Yarrowia lipolytica: one gene and its partner. The protein of the gene in region 1 binds, or shares a complex with, the protein of each later gene. Links are inferred from orthologs where the notes say so. Each region holds a gene or a part of one and is shown in the gene's direction. Other genes may lie near its edges.

Region 1 (8,996 bases):
AGCGTCAGGGGGCGTGTTTGAGGGCAAGGTATGTACATCGTGTACTGACCCCCAATTGTGGGGGTTCAGAAACGGGCCTGAATCGACTCGGCGCGAGAAGATGAAATCGATCATCATGTTGGCCCAAAAACAGCATTTTTCCACCAGAGAGTTCATTTCAGGCCGTCCAGTGGGCATAACAACCCAATGGAACTCTTCAATCATTTGATTAACGCCCGAAATACGCCTTCCTCGGGCCTCAGACACCTCCTGAATCAGTTCATAGACCGATAGACAAATTGTGGACAAGACACACAACTCCAGGTCTTTGGGAGAAGAGGTCATATCGCCTAACAATGACTTTGTGGCCTGTAGAAAGTATTTCTCAGCTCGTCTTTCAGCCTCAACTGTCTTGCTTTTGTGCGCCAAAATGACCGCTCCACAACACAAGACCGAGTACTGCAAGGTCGGCTGAGTCAAGGCAATCACAGGAACGACCTTGGAAAACATTTCCGAGCCACAAAACAAATCCAACATTGGCGCAATATACTCCACAAACACGGGCAGCAGTTCGCTCATGTCTGGATCACGTGACGGCGTCGTGGGGTCGTTGAGAGTCATTCCTTTGGCGGACGAATATGCATATTTGTGTATTTGGGGCGGTCGAAACGCCTGTAGCGGGTTGGGCATGGATGCGCCTAGTGTGTGTGTAATCTGTCCGCCCGCATGTCGATTTGTCGTTGCCACACCCGTTTGTGTAGCTTGAGAACCTCCCACATCATCCATGTCAACATCATTGACAGGAGTAGGGTATCTGGCATAGAGCCCGAGGCCTCCGTCGTAGCCCGCCGCTATATCTCGTGACTCGTCAAAGATCCTTGGCCGCCAGCTGTCACTAACTTCATAGTGAGAGGCGTCTCCCACCTTGCAATCAATGAAGTTGAGTCGTATGCCTCGTCGACACACCTTGCGAGACTTGATGCAGTTGACACAGTCCGGCACTCCCTCGTCGCACTTGAGATGCCGCTCGCGACACGTCAGACAGCCCGTGCGCACTCGCCGGCGTTTTGGTTTGTCCATTTGAGCAGTCGATGTTGTGCGAAAGAGTGCAAGATGGAGGTGCTGATGTGGTGGAGTGTGGGGTCTACTGGAACTGTATTGCGGGTTAGTTGGGAAGTTTGGAGGGCTATTTAATAAGAGTGTGTGTATATTTTCTGGTATCAATCGAGAGCTGGAGACGCGGAGATTCGATTGACCCCGTCGGTTTGCCTGCAGCTGGTCCACAACAGCTTCTGGAGACGGTCCCAAAACATCATAACCTGTTACCCTAATTTTGACTTCTATAGATTCGAGGTGACAGTATAACCGGGCGTATTTCGGCAGCGGGCAAAATCACGGGGAAAGTCACCTGACCAAAAACGCGAACGTCCCCAAGTAGAGGTCACGTGAAAACACCAACCCCCACCCCCAGCCCCCTTTTCTTCTTCTTCTTCTCTCCGACAGAGCCAGATCGGTCACGTGACACACCATTCTCTCCGCCCCGCCTCACGCTGTCACATTCACATACAGCTGCTTACTTACAACTCCAATACGCCCGCCGTTTGGAATGAAACTCAAACAGCTGTTTCACATTCAAGGCAACATAACCTAGAGCTTATTATTATTTGATGAGTGATCGCAAATCGGCCCCGAAAATAGCCGCGATTATGAGGGGAAGGGGAAACAGACCCGTTTCTCCAAGAAGTCGACGGAGACTGAAGTTCGGACTCCGCCCAAACGGCGTCACGTGACAGTATTAAACGCTGCTGTCAAGACAAGTATGTTATGCAGGGTGAAGGTTTCAGGTGTAAGCAGCCCGCCGTAGAAGACAGAGAGAAGCGGACCTCCAGGAACGGCAACAAGAGAGCAACCGTGACGCAGTCACCTGAATCTAATTTCAGATCCAATTTGCTTACTAATTGTGGTTCCAACTGTTCTCAAAGAAAAGGTGTTGTGTGTGTGTATGTGCGTGTGTGGTCTTTTTCTCTGGAGCATTGTCCAGTGACGCACCGAACAGTGTGTACATGCACAGTGGTTCTTAAACAGGCAATGTAGCCAAAGTGCAGAAAAATGGGTTACAGGGGATCGACAAGTGGATCTAGTAGAAAACTGACCAGATAAGGCGAATAATGCTGCCTCAAGGAGTTGATTGCGATTTTCGGAATTTGAATATCTTCAAAAACGACTGATATCCTCAGTGTCCCGGGGTCTGTTCCAAATGAGGTTTGATGGCTCAACAGAAGCTCTTTAGAAAACGGCACAGATGAGATATACACACACGGAGTCCGCGAAAGGATTTCTTTTCGTTCACAGGGTCTCCTGCTCGAAAACCAGCCCGTTCACGTTTGGTCTCCCCTATTAGGAACTTTTCTTTTTTTTTCCATGTAGACACCTAGATTATTTACGTTCTCCTGTTTTCTGCTGCCCTATCTCGTATGTACATACTGTACCATACAGTGTACTCGTAAAAGTACGAAGCCGCCGGCCAATCGGCTTGAACCAATATTACCGGCCTCATGGGGAGGGTCTCGGAAACGTGGTTGTACCTCATATGCTTACGTAAATTTCGATCGTCAGGAGCAGCCGTTAATCGCCGTTGTTGGTTATACACCATTAGTTTGTGGCACGCTGCCGGCAGTCGGGCCGAACATGTACTGTCGGTCGGGTTTAGGGGGCTAAGCCGATGCGGGCAAAGTGGGAGGCCACATATGAACAACAGTGTAAATAGTTCTGGCAAGGACTTCAGAATGTGACATTGTTTCAGAATACATATGCCAAATTACTTTACAGAAATGTAGGGCTGTTCTAGCCTACTTGGGGAGATTGAGACGACAGAATTGGCGTCAAGTGTCTCTACGATAAACTATCAGGCAACTACTATACATACTTGTATACGGTAGATGGTAATCCTTAGAAATAAACATCGTGTAGATGAGTCCTGTACTAGTACTTACTAGTCGAAACAGAGGAAGTTCCTTTTGTTAGGATGGTTAGATGGTGTTGAATTGAGAGAGGGAAGATGTTCGTCAGTGATAAAGATAAGACAGACATTAAAGCCAAGTGTCAGGTCGAGATAGAATAGTTCCATTGGGTATTATAGTCCAAGTTTCAACTACTAGTAAGCAATGGAGTTATTAAGCGATAGAGACAAGATACATATATCTAAACCAGTATATATCTCTATAGAGGCATAATGGTCATACAAGTAGATATAAGTCCAAATAATATACTTGTTGTCCTCGTTGCCGGATCGCCACGTCTCAATCTTGACAGCAACGACATCGCCCAGAGCAGCTTTCTCGGGCCTCTTCCTTGGCGATCTTAGCATGGCTGGCCCGTACACGATCAAGGTTCTCGTACTTGCCTGCTGGAGTGGGTGCAGACGACACAGGCTTGGCAGTAGGTCTAACAGCAGGCTTTGCAGTCTTAGGAGCAGTCTTAGGAGCAGACTTGGGGGTTAAAATCATCTGGCATCGTCGCTTACCATCCATGACAAGCTTCGTGGTGAATCCCTTGCTCACCAGCAACGTCCATTGGTCCAGGGCCTGTTGATGCTTCTCCTGATGCTCCAGACCCTCAGCCTTCCGCATCACCAACTTGGACCAAATCTCCTGTTTCCGGGGAACTAGACTGTCTAGGAAAGTCCGTCTAGAGACATGTGCCAACTAAGCTAAGTAAGGTTTCGTTTTTGTAAAGTAATTACAGACTATGTTCTAACAAAAATACTTAATACTTTAAAAAACTCATACTCATATGGGGTCACTAACTCAAAACTATTGGCAAATAGCTGAAATTATTCAATGAAAAGATCCCCATCTTGGTCAGATGCACAATTGAAACCCTTTCAACCAAGATCCTGACCCCCTATCAACACCTCAATCGACTGCTTAGTAATCTCAAACTCAGCATCCTCGCTACGCTCGTATCTGCATCCCAAAGTTAATCCAAGATTTTTTTCCCCATACAAAATTTCGCCAACATGACTAAAACGAACTACGGAGCAATCACTGCGGTGAAAGCTGTATCACGTGACTGCCTTTACACCGGACAGGGCCGGTCCATCACGAAATATTCTCTTTCTGGGGACAAATGGTGGAGCCAACGGCTTTTTGGACGCAACAAGATCCATGGCATTGATATTGACCAGAAGAAGGGCAAAATGCTGGTTTTTGGAGGAGACTCGATTCTGGTGACCGATCTGGAGTGCTCATCACGTGATGAGCGGTCTGTGGGCGACTGGATTTGTGATGCCAAGTTTGGATCTGACAATGACACTATCTACGTTCTGACTGCTCACAATAGGGTGTTGATTTTGGACAGCGATCTCAAGATCAAGGAGATTGTCACGTGCTCGGAAAACTCTCTGCTGTATTCCGGTTCACTTCACGTGACAGAGGACTCTGAATCTGTGCTAGTTGCCTCGGGAACTGTGCTACATGGAATCTATATTTGGAAGCTGGCTAATGGAAAGATTATGCACAACTTCACGGACCATGAGGGCTCCATTTTCGACGTTAAGATCTCCCCAGACTTTGCTTACGTCATCTCGTGTTCCGACGACCGGTTCGTCAAGCTGTTTGACTTGAAAGCCGGAAAATTGGTCGGCTCAGGCTTCGGACATGGGGCTCGAATCTGGCAGGTTGGGTTTTACGGAGATAACAATTACGTCAGCAGCAGCGAGGATTCGACTGCGATTTTGTGGTCTCATAACGAGTCACGTGGTCTGCTGGAGCCCGCCAAGCAGTTTCCCGGTCACGTGGGCAAGAACATGTGGTGTTTTGACATTCTAGACAAGAGCCTTATCACCGGAGGGGGGGACGGACGATGGCGGGAATTCGACTTGGAGATCGATCACTTGACCGAATATGACTACGATCACGTGATTGGAAACTCTGGTGCTTTCAAGAACTTCATCAACCTGTCCTTTACCAAAACTGCCGTTGGAACTGCCAATGGAGAAGTCTATCTAGTCGACAGAAGCAGCGATGACGTGACCTGGAGCCTGATTTACCAGAACGACGCTTTGAGGTCTCTCAATCTAATGGCTGGATGGCCTGGGTCTCCTTTCGTGGCTGTAGGAAGTCGGTTTGGACAGGTGTTTGTCATCAACACGGAAACAAAGCAGGTTTCGGAAACCAAGGTGTTTGAAGGAAAGGTGTCTGGTATGCTGACACGTGATCTTAGCGGTGCAAAGTACCTAATTGCTACTTCTCAAAACGATAAAGATGATAATGTTCTACTCGAGGTGGGTACGGACACCCAGAAACGGTACAAAGCTATGGACACCTTCCCAGTCACGTGTTTTGACGTAAACGAGAAGGGTAATGTGGTTATGGGATCCAGATTCGGAGCTCTTGCTTACTTTGACACCGTGGATGCAACTCCTGTGATTTTCAGAAAGGCCATCAACGCAGAGACCGTCACTGACGTGCTCTTTACAGACGAGATCCGCGTGACTCTCACCACTAAGAATGGCTTCTATGGTAATCTGGATATTCGCACTAAACAGTTTTCACTGCTCAACAAATCGAGCCAGAACAGCATCTTCAAGATTCTGTGTCTGTCTCCTCTCATCACGTGTGGTTTCAAAACCAACTCGTTCGTCATATCAGACGAGTCTGCCAACGCCCAGTTGTTTGCTGCCGACTGTGGAGGAGCTCATCGAAGCTGGGACGTGCTTTTTGGTGACAACAAAGTGCTGTTCAACTTTGTGCGAAAGTCAATCATGTGCGAAATCGCCAGTAACGTCATCCCTGTCTCGTCATATTACTCCCACGGTCGAGAGGTGCGAGCCATTGACGTCAACGGCTCCGTAGTTGCCTCAGGAGCTGAAGACACCAATGTTATTCTGTCCGAAGTGCGGGACGGCCAGTTGCACAACCTCCTCACATACAGAAAACACACGTCCGGTATCCAGACCCTGAAGTGGGTGAGTCCGGAGTTGCTCATCTCGTCGTCTGCACGAGAAGAACTCTTCATCTGGAAGTTTAATGCCTCCGAAAAGACTCTCACTCCCTGGCTGTCTCTTCCTCGAGGTGATAATCCCGACCTGCGAATCATGGACTTTGTTTACAAAGCCTGCGACGGGGGATTTGAGCTCCTTTGCGTCTACTCGGACTCTTCCCTCCGACTGTGGAAGTACGACAACTCCTCCTTTACTCTCGTGTCAGACCTCAAGTACACTCAGCATTGCCTGCTGAACGTGGATCTTGTCGAAGATGACAAGTCGGCGCTTATCAGTGCCACCGACGGGTCTCTTTCGGTCTATGAGCTGCCTTCTCTGCGACCCAAGAGCCACATTTATGCCCATCAAAGCTCTGTGAGGTTCTGCAGAAAGGGCGAACTAATCTTCTCTGGAGGAGACGATAACAAGCTTGTGGTGACCGAGCTGAAGAACGGTGAGCTGAGAGAGATAGCATCCATCGCTTCTGCTCACTCTAGTACCATCACGGAGGTGGCTCCGTTGGACGGATCAGAAGCTGACATTGTTTCTGTCTCTGTTGATCAGAATGTCCGAAAGTGGAAGTTTTCTGACGGAGAGCTCAAGCTAATGTCGGATGAGTTTACCACTGTGGCTGATACTGGATGTGTGTGTCCTTACGAGGGTGGTTTGTTGATTGGAGGAGCCGGTTTAGATTACTGGACCGAGTGAACTTGTGCCAAGGGAAGATGACCGGCCTTCAAACCTGTGAAGAACAGGGGCGCCTGACTGGGAATTGTTAGTGTGAATGGTATAATAATTGAGAATGCATGGGATAGGACTCCCTGTAGGGTTGATGACATCGGATGTGGTTATCTATGAGAGAATTGTCAAGTAACCTAAACAATAATACTTAAGTTCATCCAAGTATGTTCAAAACAGCCAATATTCTATCGATCGAAATGATTCAAAGGAAATCAAACTGAACGGTGTAGCTAACAAACATGAGAATGTAATCTTATCAACAAAATCGCAGGAACACACCCAAGAGAACTACCTGTAACTGCGCCTTAATAACACCCCCAAAGCATACCCTCTTAATATTGTCACAAACCTTAACCCTATATTTCACCATGCATAAGAAATCAGCCCTCAATCTCGCCAAACATCTAGAAATCATGGAAGCCATCTCAACCACGCGCAATACCGACTCACATGACCTCAAAATTACGCCAATCGACTCGTATCGCACCGATGAAACACTTGACTCAAGCTCTATCCCATCGGTTACGCCACAGCAACTCATAGCCGAGCTTTCAACCAAGTCATATCTACATCAATCGCCCGATGAGCGGACGAGGACACAAACAGAAGCTCTCAACGTCCTTTTGAGCAACCCATTACCTGACCTAGACCACATTTCACCTCTTTTTGCTAATCTCACTGGCTTGAACATTTTGATAGCTACAATCCGACTCTTGAAGAACGACAGCAATGAATATACAGCGGCCAAAATGGACAATTTGAAGACAGTCCTGGGATCGGTCATGGATCTGGGATACGTGGAGTTTCAGAAAGAATCGAGTTCCGCCTACAATAGGGAGATTTCGTCTCTGCTAACTGGATCGCGTCTCTTCAATGGTCTGGTGGAATTCGAATGGAACATTGAACAATATTTGAAATGGCTAGGAGGTGTGATTATATCACGTGACAACACGGCATCGCACGAACTAATCGGTATAATTATCATTTCAGCCCTCAAATTGCACACTAACAACAACTTCATCTGTTCCTGCATCTACTCTTCTGCATTCATTCAACGACTTGTCACGGTCGCTAATTACACGAAACCGTTCCAATTGAAGCAACTGCTCAGTTTCTCCATGAACTACTTCACTTCTGAATTTTCTGACGATGTTCAAATTGCTCCTCTGGCTGAGCTGTTAACACAGCTGAACATTCCAGTCATTGACCTCTTTCGACAAACAAGCACCGTCAACAGCCTGAATATGGTCAAGTCTCTACTAATCTCGGCATCACGTGACCAGTCGATTTTCCAGGAGCAGGTCATGGGTCTTTTCAGTCTATGGGGGTCGAAATTGAACATTTCAAAATCGCCCGTTGCCCTGCAACGTCATCAGACAGAAGTGTTATTCGTGAGTCTGTCTCTGCTGACTAAACCGTTCTTGCAGCAGCTGACTGCGACTCCTGCATTTCTGGATGGCATTACTAATCATTTATCTTCTCCTTCATCGCGGGTTCGAGATTTCGGCATCTTGATTGGTGAAAAAGTCGCTCAATATGGCTCTGTTCCTCTGAATTTCGGCATTGAGTCTTCAGAAGACTGGTCTGGGTTGTCCGTTGACAAGATGGCTGACAATTCACTAAGGCTTCTGTTTGACGCTGAAGGTGCTGATCCGGATGTAAGCATTCCCGACTCGGAGGCTCCGTCCATCTTTTCAGATGTGTTGAGTGAGAGAAGTGCCAAGCCAAACACTCAAAGCAGGTACCAGAAGCTCGGGTTTGATGTCAGAAGTCACATGAAGGATTCTGATGACGAAGGAGAGGATTCTGACGATGAAGACCCCTCGAACAAGACAGTCAGCAAACCAGTGTACATCAGACAACTTTTGGAGTACTTCAAGGCACCAGACGGCGACGACCAGTACGACAAGCTAGATATTGCCCTGAAAACGGCTGCTAGGCTCATTCTCGAAAAGAGAAAGTATGGAAACGAGGTCAAGGTGCACGCTAAGGATCTGGCCAAGGCCCTGGTTCAGTTCAAGGATAATTTCGACTTTCCAGACTACCATAAACATCGAACCCAGGCATTGGTGGTGCTGGTGGGCACTCAGCCTGAGATTGCTCCGTACATTGTGGATTTGTTTTATACGGCAGACATTAGCATTAATGATCGGCTGTTGTTGTTGACGTCATTGTCTCTTGGAGCTCGCTTTGTGAATGGATTCACTGACACTGTTGATGTGAAACCAATGGAGATGAAGAAGTTGCCAGCAGCTGTTGCAGCTCGTTTCAACGACTTGAATATTGGGACCAA
Region 2 (7,133 bases), on another chromosome or scaffold:
GAATGCAAATCAACGTGGTGGTGCAAGTACAAGTACAAGATACAAGTACAAGATACAAGTACAAGTAGTCATAAGCCCCCTCCTTCAGGAAAAGTCCCCAGTAGCGCTTTTTAACCCCTCCACCCATGTATAATCTGCCATCTGAAACACCGATTCCTCTAAGAGAACATATGCCAAATGACCTTTGTTGACCTTCTGTCGACATCATTAAACAGGTTAAATGGGCTCTCCATAGCCGTCCTAACCTTTAAGAGCCAAGGAGCAGTCTCGTTCGGGAATAAGACTCTATACTGGTGGCAATTGTACTTGTACTTGTACAGCAGATTTATTTCTACCCCCTGACAAGTCACGTGACCGCACTCACAGGTATATCGAGCCAAAGCCCCCAAGCTACAATGGACATACAAGTACAAGCAAGTAACCTACAGTCGAGAATGTCATGATTCTTCAAGTCACGTGAAATGAATATGCACGAGAGTATAAAGTTAAAGGACTCCAACATAGGGAGGACTTTCTCGGTTACTGTACGTCCCCACGTGTAGTTCGTCTCCTTCCCAAACTCATAACCTGTGTTGTCCTCCCCCAGAAGTTAAAACTCCAGCACAACCCGTGATTTAAAGTTTTCGCTTAACCGCACCTTTGACCAATCCAGATAAGACCTAGGGCCTGCCAAAAGATACACCATTGCTATACACCGCATCACGTGGGAATTATTTATCATACACGTGACCAATCTCTCCAAAAAGGAGATTTCCAGGCCGCGTTTGACACGACATTAAACCCTTCGGGTTAGGGTTTCCGTGCAGTGCAGCATCTGTCGAATGCTGAAACGTGCAACGTCTTCGGTCTCCGATAATTGGATAATTCGCCTATAAGTCCCTTGCTAGAACGAAATGAGCGAACGAGACGGATTTCTGGAGCAAGGTGGACGCGACTCTCGTGACCACGTCCACGACTATGACACACGTGAGACCTCTCAACATCGACGTCCCTCTCACAGCTTCAAGTCCGAGACCAAACCCGACAAACGGTATCTATATGCTGGAATCTCGTTGGTGGTCAGTTTGATCGCGTTTGTGGCTCAGACCGAGACAGCCGGCTACGTGGCTCATAACCTGCAGTACAAGAAACCCATCTTTATGCTGTACCTGACACATTCGTCGTGGGTCTTTCTGTTACCATTACAGCTGCTGTTCATCAAGATCTTCAAGCGATGGAAGACCCCATGGAGAGTCTTTCTGCGTCGGCAATACGAGCTCGTGTTGAACACCGCCCGAGCCACTCAAGAACACGCAGGTGACTTCTCCGGTCAACATCCGCTCAAGTATATTATGGTCACATCTTTCTGGCTGTTTGTGGCCCTGTCTTTCGCTGGATCCTCCTGGTACATTGCCGTAAACCTCACCACCCCCAGTGACCTGACCGCCATCTACAACTGCTCGGCCTTCTTCGCCTATGCCTTTTCCGTGCCGATGCTGGGAGAGTCTCTCAAGCCTGCCAAGGTGGTCAGTGTGGTGGTCGCTATTATTGGTGTGCTCATTGTGTCTTACTGGGACACTAACGAGGGAGAAGGCGAGGTCTCTTACCCCCACAGAGGTATCGGAAACCTCATTATCGGAGTGGGAGCCATTCTCTATGGTCTCTATGAAGTCATGTACAAGAAGCTGGCTTGCCCTCCCAACACCATCTCCCCACGTCGTCAGGCTGCCTTTGCCAACGTGGTGGCCTTTTGTATCGGTCTCTGTACTCTGCTGTTCCTGTGGCTGCTGCTTCCCATCCTTCACTGGACCGGCCTGGAGCCGTTTGAGCTGCCCCATGGATCAGCTGCCGGCATCATGATTGCCAACATTGCGTCCAACGCCATCTTCTCAGGTGCTTTTCTGATTCTCATGGCCCTGACTTCTCCCGTTATCGGATCGGTCGCTGCCCTGTTGACCATCTTCCTGGTGGCTATTGTCGACTGGCTTCTGTTCGACACGCCTATTGGAACTGGAGGCGTGATTGGAGGTCTTATCATCATTGGAGCCTTCATCATGCTCAGTTACGCCAGTTTCCAGGAGCTCGGCGAGGAGGCAGAAGATAGTGATAGTGACGACGACATCATTTAAGAGAAGGACGAACTGGGGGATATGACAAGGAATAAATAAAAAGGGGGTAACGCTACAAACTGTACATATTGTGTGCAATCATTACATTAATATGCTTTCCAAAAGGCCATTCATGTCATCAAGGTGGCAAAGAACTGTGTATCACACTGTTCTGTAGTAAGATACAGACACTCCCGGTAGAACATTTATTAACGACATATCCATACAACAACACTACTGGCATGTACTTACTGCCCCTACCTCCTCTTCTAGCCACAGGTGGTTCAGTAGCAACTCTCATATCGTCCAATGTCTCCTTGACTATATACATATCCTCATCTCAAGGCTCACAGGCTCTTGTCTAACATCTCTTTGTTGATGCACATATCCCTATCGCTTCCTCTAAGCAGCCTTGGTGACGAGCTGCAGACCGTGCCACTGCTTGATCTCGTCAGCAAGCAGAGCGTTTACCAGACGATGTTGCTTGACCATGGGGATGCCCTTGAACTTGTCGGACACAATCTGGATGGCAAACATGGAGCCGCAGCCGCCGGAAATGTCCCGCACATCCAGACTCACGGGTTTGAACTCGTCGGTCAGCATCTGGCTGATTTGCTTCTCGTAGTCGTTCAGCTCGTTTGGACGTCTCCACGAGGCATTTCGCGCAATCTGAGTAGTGGAGAAGGGTCGCACAAACGCGGGTCGGGCGGCAAAGAGCCGGGAGTTCATCATTTGTCGCAGCATTGTGTGTGTGGGTGTGTGTAGTTTTTGATGCGGAAAAAGTAATTTGCAGTGGTGATGTTTCAAGGTGGTTTAGGTTGTAGTCCCAACCGAACAAGTAGGTTATCGGGGGGCAAATATCGGAGGGGACAAGGAGAGTAATTAGTTGACTTAGTAAGCATTGCAGAGGTGAAATATGGATGTCACATGATACAGAAAGGTCCGCTGAGTAATATTAATGGCCAAATCTCCTAAATTGTCGATTAAAAGCGCACTTTTAGGACCCATCTCTGAACACCCCGCACTGCGCTCTCTGAACCTAAATGCATGCATCATTACAAATGCTCTCCCGTAATTTGACAGACAAGGGTGTAATGATGAGATGAGAAATGTCCAAGTAGTGTACTAGTTACTTGGCTGACCATAAAGATGGAGAATATACAGTCTGTAGACTCTTCGAGGGCATTGTAGTGTGCATATTAGAGTTTTTAATTTCTTAACTAATTATCAACTAAATTATAAGAAAGTCAGTTTGGATTTCCACCTTCGATTAGTAAGAATAATACCTCTCAGAAATGCAAAAAAAAACGCACTAGCTGAAAATACAAATGGACTCGATTGTTGAGCACTTAAAGAGACAGAGCTGTTTGCACTTCTTTTTATAGAAAGCCGCGTCAAATGCAACTATTGTAGACATTGTAGACCCCCGCCTTCGCATCACCACCACTATCAAACTTTCAGATTAGCTTTTTTATTTTTCACTCTGACTACACTCGACAGAAATGGGAAAAAGCAGCAAGGACAAGAGAGACATTTACTACCGAAAAGCCAAGGAGGAGGGCTGGCGAGCGCGATCCGCCTTCAAACTGCTTCAGCTGGATCAGCAGTTCCACTTGTTTGACGGTGTTCAGCGAGTTGTGGATCTGTGTGCTGCTCCTGGGTCCTGGAGTCAGGTGCTGAGCAGAGAGCTGTTTGAGAAGCGAGGTATCGAGGCTGGCAGCGGTAAGACGGTGGCTGGGTCGACATTTGGAGGCAAGGTTGTCACCGGGGAATCTACTGCTCAAAAATCATCCACCATGGAGAAGGCCAAGATTGTGTCTGTTGATCTGCAACCCATGGCTCCCATTGCTGGTGTCACCACTATCCAGGCCGATATCACGCATCCTCAAACTCTGAAGATGATTCTGGACGAGTTTGGAGGCGAGCCTGCCGACTTTGTGTGTTCTGACGGAGCTCCCGATGTCACTGGTCTGCACGATCTCGACGAGTACACACAGGCACAGCTGATTCTGTCTGCGCTTCAGCTGACCACCCAGCTACTGAGACCCGGAGGAAACTTTGTCGCCAAAATCTTCCGAGGACGAGATATTGATCTCATGTACTTCCAGCTGGGTCTGTTGTTCGAGCAGGTCACTTGTGCAAAGCCCCGATCTTCCAGAGGCTCTTCTCTCGAGTCTTTCATCGTGTGTCAGGGATACAAGCCTCGATCGGGATGGTCTCCCGATCTCGCTACTGGCGTCATGGTCAACAAGGAGCTCCCTCTGCCTATTTCCGAGCGGGTCGTCGCTCCCTTTGTGGCCTGTGGCGACCTGTCGGAGTACGACTCAGACGCTACTTACACTCTCCCTAGTGGAGAGGGAGTTCGAGTCAGCTTGGACCCCGTTCAGAGCCCTACTTGCCCACCATACAAGCGAGCGGTCGAGATGAAGAGAAAGAACTAGAGGGATATATAAAAGAGAAGGATTGGGATGCATTTATAATAGATTTATTGATTAGTTAATACGGGTGACTGACTACTACAAAGTGAAAGTCTCACATAGCTCGAATTCTCGGCTGGAATGACCAATGTACACGGAATACTCGCCTCGCTGCACTCTCCAGCTCTGCAGTTCCACGTCCCAAATGGCCAGATCTCGCCAGTTGAGGTTGTACTCGGTCATCTGAGACTCACCAGGGTTCAGGAGCTTGGACTTGTCGAATCCTCGAAGCTGCACCGGAGGAGAGTCGATAAGGGTTTCAGGGAAGGCAACGTACAGCTGAGAAACTACTCGTCCAGCAACATCACCGCAGTTGGTGGTGTTGTGAGTGACAGTAACAGCGTTAGACCAAAGCCAGGGGTGACCACCCACTCCTCCAGAAGCGTCACTGACATGTCCAGCTCCATTTGCAAAGGGGAACTGAGTCTGAGAGTCCGCGAGGGGCGCACTGGCGTTGAGAATCCAAGGGTAAACAAGACCGTCAATCATTTTAAAGTCATTGGGGACATAAAGGTCCTCAATGTCGATATTGGTCATCTTGGGTTTAGTAACCTGTACAGGAACAGGCCGGGGAGGAAGGAACTCACTAATCTCCTTAACATCAAGATGCAGATTGCTGAAGGAGTAGGTGGTGTATGACAGACCGTAACCAAATTCGTAGAGGGGAGTCCTTTCAAACTTGTCGTACCACTTGTAGTCAAGATAGATTCCCTCCACAAAGTCGGACTGGGGAGCTCCATCTCGAGGGATCTTGGTGACAATAGGAATATAATCAGAAGTATTTGCTGCGATAGTATAAGGCAGCTTTCCTGAGGGATTAACCTCTCCAAATAACACATCAGCGATGGCTTTTCCTCCGTAATCACCAGCAGGAGCAGTCAGAAGAACGGCACTGATGTTGGGGTGGTTGAGCCAAGCGGTCATGTCAACTTGTCCAACCGTAGTGACAACAACGACAGTCTGTCCCTGACTGGCAACTGTATTAATAAGTTCATCGCCATTGTGCCATAGACTGACATTTCGGCGATCCCCAAGGTTCTTATCAACGTTGGCAGTAGACTCTCCTGAATTTGCCAATACATAAACAATATTCACGTCAGTGTCTCCAGCCAGCTCAAGAGGAAGTCTCATATCCCATGACTCGGTGGTTCCTGTCACTGACACTTCAAGTAGAGAAGCCTTTTTGTGGAGAGCTTCGTAAGGGCTTTCGTACTCCGTAGGGTAAGCAGTTCCACTTCCCCATCCTTCGATAAGAGCTCCGTCTGAGCACTGCATGTTTTCCCCACAAACAGCTCCATTGGGGCCAAGTCTAGAGCCGACTCCAAATACTCCAATAGCGGAAATGTTCTTCAGGGGAAGAATACCGTCATTGAAAAGCAGAACAACAGCTCCTCGAGCACTATCAAGAGCAACATTGGCTGCAAACTGGTCTCGCACATCGAGATGGTAGTTGGTGATAACATCCTTGACTTTCTTGGAGTGCTTAGCAGCGGGGTGGGGACTTCCCACTGTAGTGTCGACAAAGGAGGAGAAGTTGGGTGTTCGATCGTCGATCCCAAAGTAGATGAGAGGGGTCAGAATTCGCAGAACCATATCATCGAGACGGGCTTCTGGAAGGGTACCGTTGGCAACCATTCGGGTCAGCTGTTCTCCCCAGAAGACAGTTTCTAACTCATCAACGTCATTTCCAGGCATACTCATGTCCATTCCAGCCAGAGCGTTAGACACTCCGCTTCCCTGAGCAAACCAGTCGGACATGACAAAGCCCTGGAAACCGAGCTCGGACTTGAGCTTTCCGTTGAGCAAGTCACTGTTCTGGCAAGCCTGGGTTCCGTTCACGTAGTTGTAGGAGCACATGACTGAGCCGACATTAGCCCTAACAGCATCGGCAAACGGCCACATGTACAACTCATGTAGAGCTCTGTCTTCAATGTTGGAAGAGACGGCGTCCTTCAGGTCTTTAAATCCAAAGCCGTCTCTCCACTCTTCGGCTCGCCGGTAATGTTCTTGTTCGTTTCCAATGAAGTGCTTGATGGTTGCAAGAACTCCCTCTTCCTGGACTCCAAGAATTGCTTCGAAGGCGAGCTTTCCAGACAGATATGGGTCGGGGGAGAAACCTTCCCAGTTTCTTCCGCCGGTAGCGTGTCGTCCAAGAGGTCCCACCACTGGTCCGAGATGAACATCGACTCCCTTGAGTCTAGACTGACGTCCAATAGCGGTTCCTCGTTGGTGAACTAGGATACGATCAAAGGTGGCGGCCATTGCGTTCTGGCAAGGGAAGACATTGACAAAGTCGGCAAAACGGACGCCCAGAGGACCGTCTTGGAGACACAGGCCCTTGATTCCGAGACGAGGAACAGCCCCTGTGTTTCCAACACACTGCCCACCTCTCCATCCGGTACCGGTGGTGATGTTGACCTTTTCGGGAAGAGTCAATTGGGCCAGGATGTCCATGGACTCACCAAGAGCATCGGCCCAATCACTGGTAATTGAACCGATTTCGGGTGTGGGGTACCAGTCAGGCGAAGAGGCCGCTAGTGCCGTCGTCAGTAGTAGTTGCAGAGAGAAG

Evidence for each region.
Region 2: the proteins of YALI1_D29699g (region 1) and YALI1_F21540g are in contact, whole or in part, in a crystal structure (PDB 6JPL), measured with the Saccharomyces cerevisiae proteins. The link is inferred for Yarrowia lipolytica from reciprocal best matches to the Saccharomyces cerevisiae genes RTT10 and TRM7. Residues at the interface, in NP_015142.1 of Saccharomyces cerevisiae: Leu11, Tyr47, Asn48, Lys49, His51, Ala66, Arg67, Ser91, Asp92, Trp93, Cys111, Tyr112, Lys114, Ser129, Leu130, Gly132, Glu133, Arg134, Ile136, Tyr138, Met158, Phe183, Arg223, Trp225, Ser273, Trp275, Asn291, Arg658, Glu685, Thr835; in NP_009617.3 of Saccharomyces cerevisiae: Leu84, Pro127, Asp128, Val129, Thr130, Gly131, Leu132, His133, Asp134, Leu135, Tyr138, Val139, Gln142, Arg167, Gly168, Arg169, Ile171, Asp172, Met173, Tyr175, Lys189, Arg191, Thr196, Leu198, Asn233, Lys234, Cys236, Asp239, Ser242, Glu246.

Annotation. Positions count from the first base shown.
Region 1 is NC_090773.1:2,964,875-2,973,870, reverse strand, and holds YALI1_D29699g (uncharacterized protein), read left to right. Parts: upstream 1-3,997; coding exon 3,998-6,670; downstream 6,671-8,996. Other genes in the region: YALI1_D29728g (uncharacterized protein), read right to left, coding at 1-1,059; YALI1_D29703g (uncharacterized protein), read right to left, coding at 3,279-3,608; YALI1_D29668g (uncharacterized protein), read left to right, coding at 7,072-8,996.
Region 2 is NC_090775.1:2,150,488-2,157,620, reverse strand, and holds YALI1_F21540g (uncharacterized protein), read left to right. Parts: upstream 1-3,589; coding exon 3,590-4,528; downstream 4,529-7,133. Other genes in the region: YALI1_F21567g (uncharacterized protein), read left to right, coding at 894-2,108; YALI1_F21547g (uncharacterized protein), read right to left, coding at 2,490-2,831; YALI1_F21504g (uncharacterized protein), read right to left, coding at 4,604-7,133.